Linked DNA regions of Macaca mulatta. The protein of the gene in region 1 interacts with the protein of each later gene in a biochemical or structural test. Links are inferred from orthologs where the notes say so. Each region holds a gene or a part of one and is shown on either strand. Other genes may lie near its edges.

Evidence for each region. The genes of interacting proteins can lie anywhere in the genome.
Region 2: of the proteins of BMP1 (region 1) and CHRD, one has a biochemical effect on the other in vitro, tested with the Homo sapiens proteins (3 studies listed by BioGRID and IntAct). The link is inferred for Macaca mulatta from reciprocal best matches to the Homo sapiens genes BMP1 and CHRD.

What each region holds. Positions count from the first base shown.
Region 1 is NC_133413.1:23,816,975-23,820,474, forward strand, and holds part of BMP1 (bone morphogenetic protein 1 precursor), read left to right. Parts: intron 1-1,891; coding exon 1,892-2,005; intron 2,006-3,500. UniProt on the Homo sapiens protein: Metalloprotease that plays key roles in regulating the formation of the extracellular matrix (ECM) via processing of various precursor proteins into mature functional enzymes or structural proteins.
Region 2 is NC_133407.1:96,518,918-96,523,073, forward strand, and holds the start of CHRD (chordin), read left to right. Parts: upstream 1-1,356; 5' UTR 1,357-1,713; coding exon 1,714-1,861; intron 1,862-1,898; exon of another isoform or gene 1,899-2,086; coding exon 2,087-2,190; intron 2,191-2,588; exon of another isoform or gene 2,589-2,616; coding exon 2,617-2,746; intron 2,747-2,877; coding exon 2,878-3,006; intron 3,007-3,097; coding exon 3,098-3,197; intron 3,198-3,311; coding exon 3,312-3,399; intron 3,400-3,767; coding exon 3,768-3,909; intron 3,910-4,011; coding exon 4,012-4,156. UniProt on the Homo sapiens protein: Dorsalizing factor. Key developmental protein that dorsalizes early vertebrate embryonic tissues by binding to ventralizing TGF-beta family bone morphogenetic proteins (BMPs) and sequestering them in latent complexes.

The DNA.
Region 1 (3,500 bases):
GTTAAGTTGTTGCTTTTGGGACCTCAGTTTTCTCATCTATAAAATGGAAGTTTGGCCTCGATGACTGCCACAGTCACTCCCACATTCTGTTGATCCTGTCTAGGTGAGGGTGTGTCTCTGGGCATGTATTTGCAAGCCAGAAGAATATCAGCGTAGCAATTCATTCATTTGAACATCCTGGAGTGTCTCCCGCCTGAAAGTGCAGTGCTGGGCGCTGCTTTCGTGTGCAAGGATGTGTGTCTCTGGCTTTGATGGCTCTGCACTGGATGGCAAGGGTGTGGATGCCACCGTGTGTCCGTAGGAACACTAACCTTGGGTGTCTGATTCTGTATGTGATGAAGTCAGTGTGTGTGTGTGTTCACCAGTGAGGCCAACTGGGGAGGAAAAACCTGTGTAGAAGTCCTCAAGGTTAAAACAATTTGTGTAATGCGACCGCCAGGCCTGTATAGCGCTCTGCCTGGATGAGAAGCAGATGTTGCCGTGGGTGGAGCTGCAGGGAAGCCGCTGTGGGTCCCACCTCTAGCCCAGCCTCCCGCCTCCCCCAGCCCAGCTCAGCTCAGCATGCAGCTCCCATATGAGCGCCTTCCAAAGCGGCCAGTTCTATGGCCTCTGCTTCCTTTTCTACAGATTTCGCAAAAGGGAGACAGACAGTTCAGCCGGGTCTCTGGAAACATCCCTCCTCAGCTCCACATACTGGAATCGGAATGGCCCTTTAGGGAGGCTCTCTTCCCCTCTGGCCTTTCTGCTTGAGCAGCCTAAGACTTGGAATAGGAATTACTTGAGAACTGTTAAACTTTTTTCTCCTAGCTGGGAAGCTCCCGGAAGGTATCTTCGTTTCCCAAAGATGCTTATCTGTTCTAATGAAAATTGGTGCAATTTTATTTCCTTTTTTTTTTTTTTTTTTTTTTTGAGACAGGGTCTCACTCTGTTGCCCAGGCTGGATTGCAGTGGCATCATCTCAGCTCACTGCAGCCTTGACCTCCCGGGCTCAATTGATCCGCCTGCCTTAGCCTCCAGAGTGAGTAGCTGGAACTACAGGCATGCATCACATCACCATGCCTGGCTAATTCTTGTATTTTTTATAGACACAGGGTTTCACCATGTTGCCCAGGCTGATCCTGAACTCCTGAGTTTAAATGATCCGCCCACCTCGACCCCCGCAAAGTGTTGGGATTACAGGTGTGAGCCACTGCACCTGGCTTACTTTATTTCATAGACCCCCCCAACCTTGGTTAAACTGAAACAGCATTTGCTGAGTGAACACCACATGCTCAGCACATCCTGTTTTATTTTCTTCATAGCTCCCGTTGCTATCTAGAAGACCCTAGGTCAGTATTTATTTACTTGCATATTATGGAAGGTTAGCTCCACAGGAGCAGGGGCCTCTTCTGTCTTGCTAATGACTAGGGTATTGTCTCCACCACAGTAGTATGTTAACTAAGTATTTGCTGAAGAATGATGGCTCTGTGGCTCATACCTGTATTCCCAGCCACTGGAGAGGCTGAGGAGGCTGGAGCATCTCTTGAAGCCAGGATTTTGAGACCAGCCTGGGCAACATAGCAAGATCCTGCTAATTTTAAAAAATTAGCTGGGCACAGCGGTGAGACCCTATCTGCCCCACACTCCCCAAAGAATGATGAGCTAACAGCCTGGTAGGGACTGAGCATCAGCTTTATTGGGATTTTTAACTGAAAAGTAAGCATGAGCTTCCCAAGAAATTCTATAAGCTGATCCCTAACTGCCCTTCTCCTTCTTGTTCAGATGGCATTTGAGGATCACAGTCGCTGTGGAGGTTGGGGGCTGGTGCCCACAGGGGTGGGGCTAGAAGCACGTCGCACCCAGGGCTGGGAAGGGAGATTAACTCAGCCCTGGCTTCTTCTTTTCTCTTTAGCTGCCTTTCTTGGGGACATTGCCCTGGACGAAGAGGACCTGAGGGCCTTCCAGGTACAGCAGGCTGCGGATCTTAGACAGCACACCACTCGTAAGTCCTCCATCAAAGGTGCAGGTAAGTCGGGTGCCAAAGGGCCCTCTGTGTCCTAGAAATGAATTCCAGTCTTAGGGAAACAAGGACTCTCCCTGTTCCCAGCCAGGCCCTCCCAGGACAGAGGCCATGAGCTTGACCCCAGCACATGGGCCTATCTTCCCTCGGGATATCTTCATCCCTTCCCCAAAGGAGTAGTAAATACAGACATCCCTAGCAACTAAGAACTGACATTCTTTCTGCTTACAGTTTACAAACCACTTTCAAAAGTATTGTCTAGCCTGACTGTCCCCAACCACCTTTAAAGGCGGTGTCAGGACAACTCCTGTTTGACAGGTCCAGAAACTAAGACTCACAGAGGTAAAGTGACCTGCCCAGGATCACACAGCTAGTGAGTGGCAGAGCTGGGACTGGAACCCGAGCTTTCTCACTCCAGATCTTGACACTCTGCCCAACACTGTAATCCCTCCTGGGCTCTCCTGTTCCCACTTTGCAAATTTCTGTGCATCCTCTGAGGCCCATCTCAGGAGCTTCTCCTATTCATCTTTCCCAGTTGCCCCCTAAACATGACTATCCCTCCATTTTCCCTGTTTTCTCCCTCGTCTGTGCTCACACTCTTACCCTGTCACTTATCACACCATATTGAAAGGATTTGCTCCTATGTCTCCCTAGCTGGACTCAAAGCTCTTTAAGGTCAGGGATGCTTTCTTCTTATCCTTGATTGTGGTCCAAACTCCTAAAAATTCATGTGGTACTTGTGCATGGATGCGGGAATGGGAGGGATGAGGGGCTGGGCTGTGTCTGTTCTCTCCAGCCCCTCACTGCTCTGTAGAAGGGTGAAAGCTCCTCACTGCCAATGCTGATGTTTGAGACATGGTCCTGAGAGCACACAAATAGCCCCCCCTTCCCAAAGGGCAGGGGCATGGATTCTTTTTTCTTTTGTTCTCTCTCTCTTTTTTTTTTTTTTTTTTTTTGAGACAGGGTCTCACTCTGTTACCTAGGCTAGAATGCAGTGGCACCATTTTGGCTCACTGCAAACTCTGCCTCCTGAGTTCAAGTAATTCTCATGCCTCAGCCTCCCAAGTAACTGGGACCACAGGCATGCAACACCACGCCTGGCCAATTTTTTATATTTTTAGTAGACACGGGATTTCACGGTGTTGGCCAAGCTGGTCTCGAACTCCTGGCCTCAAGTGATCCATCCTCCCTGGCCTCCCAAAGTGCTGGGATTACAGGCATGAGCCACCATGCCAAAGGGCAGGGATTCTTATTGAGGGCCTGCTCTTGGAACACTGTAGTGTGCCTGAAGTTTTCCTCTCCAGCTTGAGGGAAGATCCTGATGTGGTACCTTATGGAATAAGGGTAGGTGGCATTGGAGGGTGACCTGGTGGCCTGCTAACAAGTAAGGCTCATGTGACCTTAGTGGGGACTAGTAGGTATGGCACAAGGGAAAGCTGCATGGAGGGGTCCCCTGCTAAACTACCAGGTGACTTTGGGCAAAGCTTTGGCTTTAGTTTCC
Region 2 (4,156 bases), on another chromosome or scaffold:
GTCTTGTTATACCCCTTTTCGAAGTGGGAATACGGATATTGCCCACATGAGAGAAATCTCCTGTTATGGGCTGGTGTTATGGGGAAAGGGTTTAGACTGGTTGAGAGGACTGTCAGGTGCGGGGCGCATATATGTGCGCAGGCATGAACCGGGTTAAGCCTGGGCTTAGGTGCTGGTCTGCTGGGGTCTAGTGACTTGGAGGGCTACACACACAGCTCTCTGTGCATGGGGCCCTCCTTTGCTTGTTCTGTCTCCCTCTTCCATCTCCTACCGTTCCACATGTGACAAGAGGAATAACCAGGCCCATGTGTCCCTGTCTTAGGAAAGACAGCTGCTGGACCTCCCCCGCAAATACCTCCCTGCTGGCCCCCCTTTTCCTTTGGCCCTGGCTCTAGCTCCTTTGCTTTCTTCCTAGTCCCAGTCTCCCCACAGTCTCTGTCCTCAGGGGTGTCCCAGCCTGACCTTGTTCCCATCATCCCCCTGTCCCCTAGAACTTCCTCAGACTCTCTCCTGTTCCTCCTCCCCAAGGATGGGCATGTCTGCTGAGAAGTGTGGCCTAGATCCTGGAATTTTCCCGACCAGCCAGACGAGATGTCTCCCAAGATTAGGAAGGAGGGTGCTGGGATAGCTGGGAGGATAGTGGGTGTGTGTGGGTGGGAGAGACAGGGAGGCAGGCATGACCACTGGAACTAAGAGAAAGGAGGCTGGGAGTGGGTTGGAGAGGCAGAGGGTCCCTTGGGTGAAGGAAGGGGGTGAGGAAGCAAGAGGGGATGGTCGAATGGGCCTGAGGATAAGTTACAATGAGAGAGAGACACTGTCATTCCACAGAAAGGGGAATGCTGCCGCTTTCTGGCTAGGTCCGTGTCCTGGGTAACACAAGAATGAGGAGCGACCTCAGAGAGGAGGTAGGGAGGCAGGCTAGGCAGTGAGAGAGGGTGGTGAGGGTTTGAGGGGCGCTGTGGGCCGGGGGAGATCGGCTGATGGGCCTTTCCTGTACGTTGTCATCTTTTAAGACAAGTCTTCATCCTTCGGGCGGAACCGGGTCCTGCTCACTGAGCGGTCCAGGCCTCAGGCCTAGCCTCTGCCCCTCCCTGGCCTGAGGCTCCCCTCCTGGGCTGGACACCGACCTCCTGGTCCAGCCGCCCTGTGGCCGCCAGCAGCGGGGGGCTCCGGGCCCGCCTCTCCTCCCCCTCTTCGCGCCCCCTGGTCCCTCCCCTCCCCCTCCCCCGCTCCCCTTCCTCCTCCCGCTCTTCCCTCCTCCCCTGCCCGGTCCCAGGCCCTCCCTCCCCTCCCCCACCCGCGATCCGGGCCGCTGCTGCTGGGCCGGACCCCCCGGGCTCAGCCCGGCCCCTCGCCGAGCTGCCGCCGCCGCCCCGTTTGCTGAGGAGGAGGCCCCCGGCCGGGGCGTCGGGCGCGGGGCATAAAACGGGCCGGAGCCGGCGCCCGGGGCAGTAGAGCCGCGTACGGCCCGGGTCAGCGCCCGACTGCCCGCGCTCCTCCCGGCCGCTCCTCCCGCCCCGCCCGGCCCGGCGCCGACTCTGCGGCCGCCCGACGAGCCCCTTACTGCACTGCCCCGGCCCCGGCCCCGGCCCCGGCCCCCTCCCGCCGCACCGCCCCCGGCCCGGCCCTCCGCCCTCCGCACTCCCGCCTCCCTCCCTCCGCCCGCTCCCGCGCCCTCCTCCCTCCCGCCTCCCCAGCTGTCCCGTTCGCGTCATGCCGAGCCTCCCGGCCCCGCCGGCCCCGCTGCTGCTTCTCGGGCTGCTGCTGCTCGGCTCCCGGCCGGCCCGCGGCGCCGGCCCTGAGCCCCCCGCGCTGCCCATCCGTTCCGAGAAGGAGCCGCTGCCCGTTCGGGGAGCAGCAGGTAGGTGGGCGCCCGGGGGAGGCGCGGGCGGAGATACGGGCTCGGGGCGAGTCAGCGCCAGTCCGGAGGGGGCGCGGGGCGCAGGTGGCTCGGCGCGGCGGGCCGCCCGGAGGGTGGGCGGGGGCTGAAGGGCGCGGTGCCCGGGACCCGGGACCCGCGGGCAGCCCCGGGGGCGGCACACGGCGCGAGCTGGGCAGCGGCCTCCAGCCAAGCCCGTCCCCGCAGGCTGCTCCTTCGGCGGGAAGGTCTATGCCTTGGACGAGACGTGGCACCCGGACCTGGGGGAGCCCTTCGGGGTGATGCGCTGCGTGCTGTGCGCCTGCGAGGCGGTGAGTGAGCCCCGCGGCCGGCCCGGGCCCTGACTGGTGGGGAGCGCGAGTCGCGCGGACGTCGAAGTGCTGAGAAGGAGCCCAGTCGGCAGATGTTGGGGATGCTTTTCTGGTGGAGGAAGGGGAATCAGCCCCTTCAAGTCTTAGGTGCTGTTACTGATCGCCCACTCTGTGTGAGGCTCTGTGCCAACTCCGTTTCGTTCCCAGCTCACCTAACTCCCATGGCAGCCTTGCTAGATAGCGAGAGTATTATTATCCCCATTTTCCAGACAGGGACCTTGAGGCCCAGAGAGACGAAGTAGCTTGTCTAGGGTCACGCAGATTGTAAGTGGCAGAGCTGGCTGACTCTGCGGGACATCCTTGCCTGGGGGTCTCATCAGTTGGCTTCTTGCGCTCACTTGGGTTTCCCGCCTTTTCCGGGAGCAGCTTCAGTGGGGTCGCCGTACCAGGGGCCCTGGCAGGGTCACCTGCAAGAACATCAAACCAGAGTGCCCAACCTTGGCCTGTGGGCAGCCGCGCCAGCTGCCAGGACACTGCTGCCAGACCTGCCCCCAGGGTAAGGCTTGCTCCGCCCTGCGGGGAGGGAGGCAGGGCCAAGGTACTGGGTCCTGGGCCACTTGGATGGGGCTTCGGACTGGCCCTTCCCACGGCCAGCTGAAGCCCGTGTTCTTACCCCGCCCCCTGCAGAGCGTAGCAGTTCGGAGCGGCAGCCGAGCGGCCTGTCCTTCGAGTATCCGCGGGACCCGGAGCATCGCAGTTATAGCGACCGCGGGGAGCCAGGCGCTGAGGAGCGGGCCCGTGGTGATGGCCACACGGGTAGGGGGCTGGCGAACAGCGGGGTTGTGGTTGAGGCTGGGCCACCAAAGCAGCGTTTGACAGTGCTCAGGCCATCTTCCTCCCGTCCCAGACTTCGTGGCGCTGCTGACAGGGCCGAGGTCGCAGGCGGTGGCACGAGCCCGAGTCTCGCTGCTGCGCTCTAGCCTCCGCTTCTCCATCTCCTACAGGCGGTGAGAAAGGGGAAGGAGCAAGGAGGGGTCAGCTGCTGGCCAGGAGGGAAACTGGGAGAGCTGGGAGGGGCTGCTTTTGGCCCAGTCTGGCCTCACCCGACCTCTCATTCCCAGGCTGGACCGCCCTACCAGAGTCCGCTTCTCAGACTCCAATGGCAGTGTCCTGTTTGAACACGCTGCAGCCCCCACCCAAGATGGCCTGGTGAGATGATGTCATTTATGAGCACTTGTCCAGTCTGGGCACTGTGCTGAGAGCATGCTCTGCATTGCCTCCAGTGGTCCTCACCACAGCCCAGTGGGAGGAAGGCACTGACATTATGATGACCATTTTACAGAAGGGGGAACTGAGGCTCAGTAGGAGAATGTGATTTGTTCAAGGTCACACAGCTAGTAAGTGGTGCAGCCAGGACTGGAACCCAAGCATCTGGCTCCAGGGTTCTTTCTTAAGCTTCCTAGGGCACCCTGGAGGTTCCTTTCCATGTTCCTTTTTCATGAGGCCTGCCTGGACCTCCTAATTGGCCTAACCTGCACAGTGTCTGAGCGTAGGGCCTTCTTGTCTCTCTGCTCCAGGTCTGTGGGGTGTGGCGGGCAGTGCCTCGGTTGTCTCTGCGGCTCCTTAGGGCAGAACAGCTGCATGTGGCACTTGTGACACTCACTCACCCTTCAGGAGAGGTCTGGGGGCCTCTCATCCGGCACCGGGCCCTGGCTGCAGGTAGGGAGCAAAGAGCCCTGGGCATGAAGTTCTGAGTTTTCTCTATCCCCAGGAAAGGGGAGGGGGCGTTCTGACGGGCTCTCATCATCCTCCCTTCCCCAGAGACTTTCAGTGCCATCCTGACTCTAGAAGGCTCCCCAGAGCAGGGCATAGGGGGCATCACCCTGCTCACTCTCAGTGACACAGAGGACTCCTTGCATTTTTTGCTGCTCTTCCGAGGGCTGCTGGAACCCAGGAGTGGGGGTAA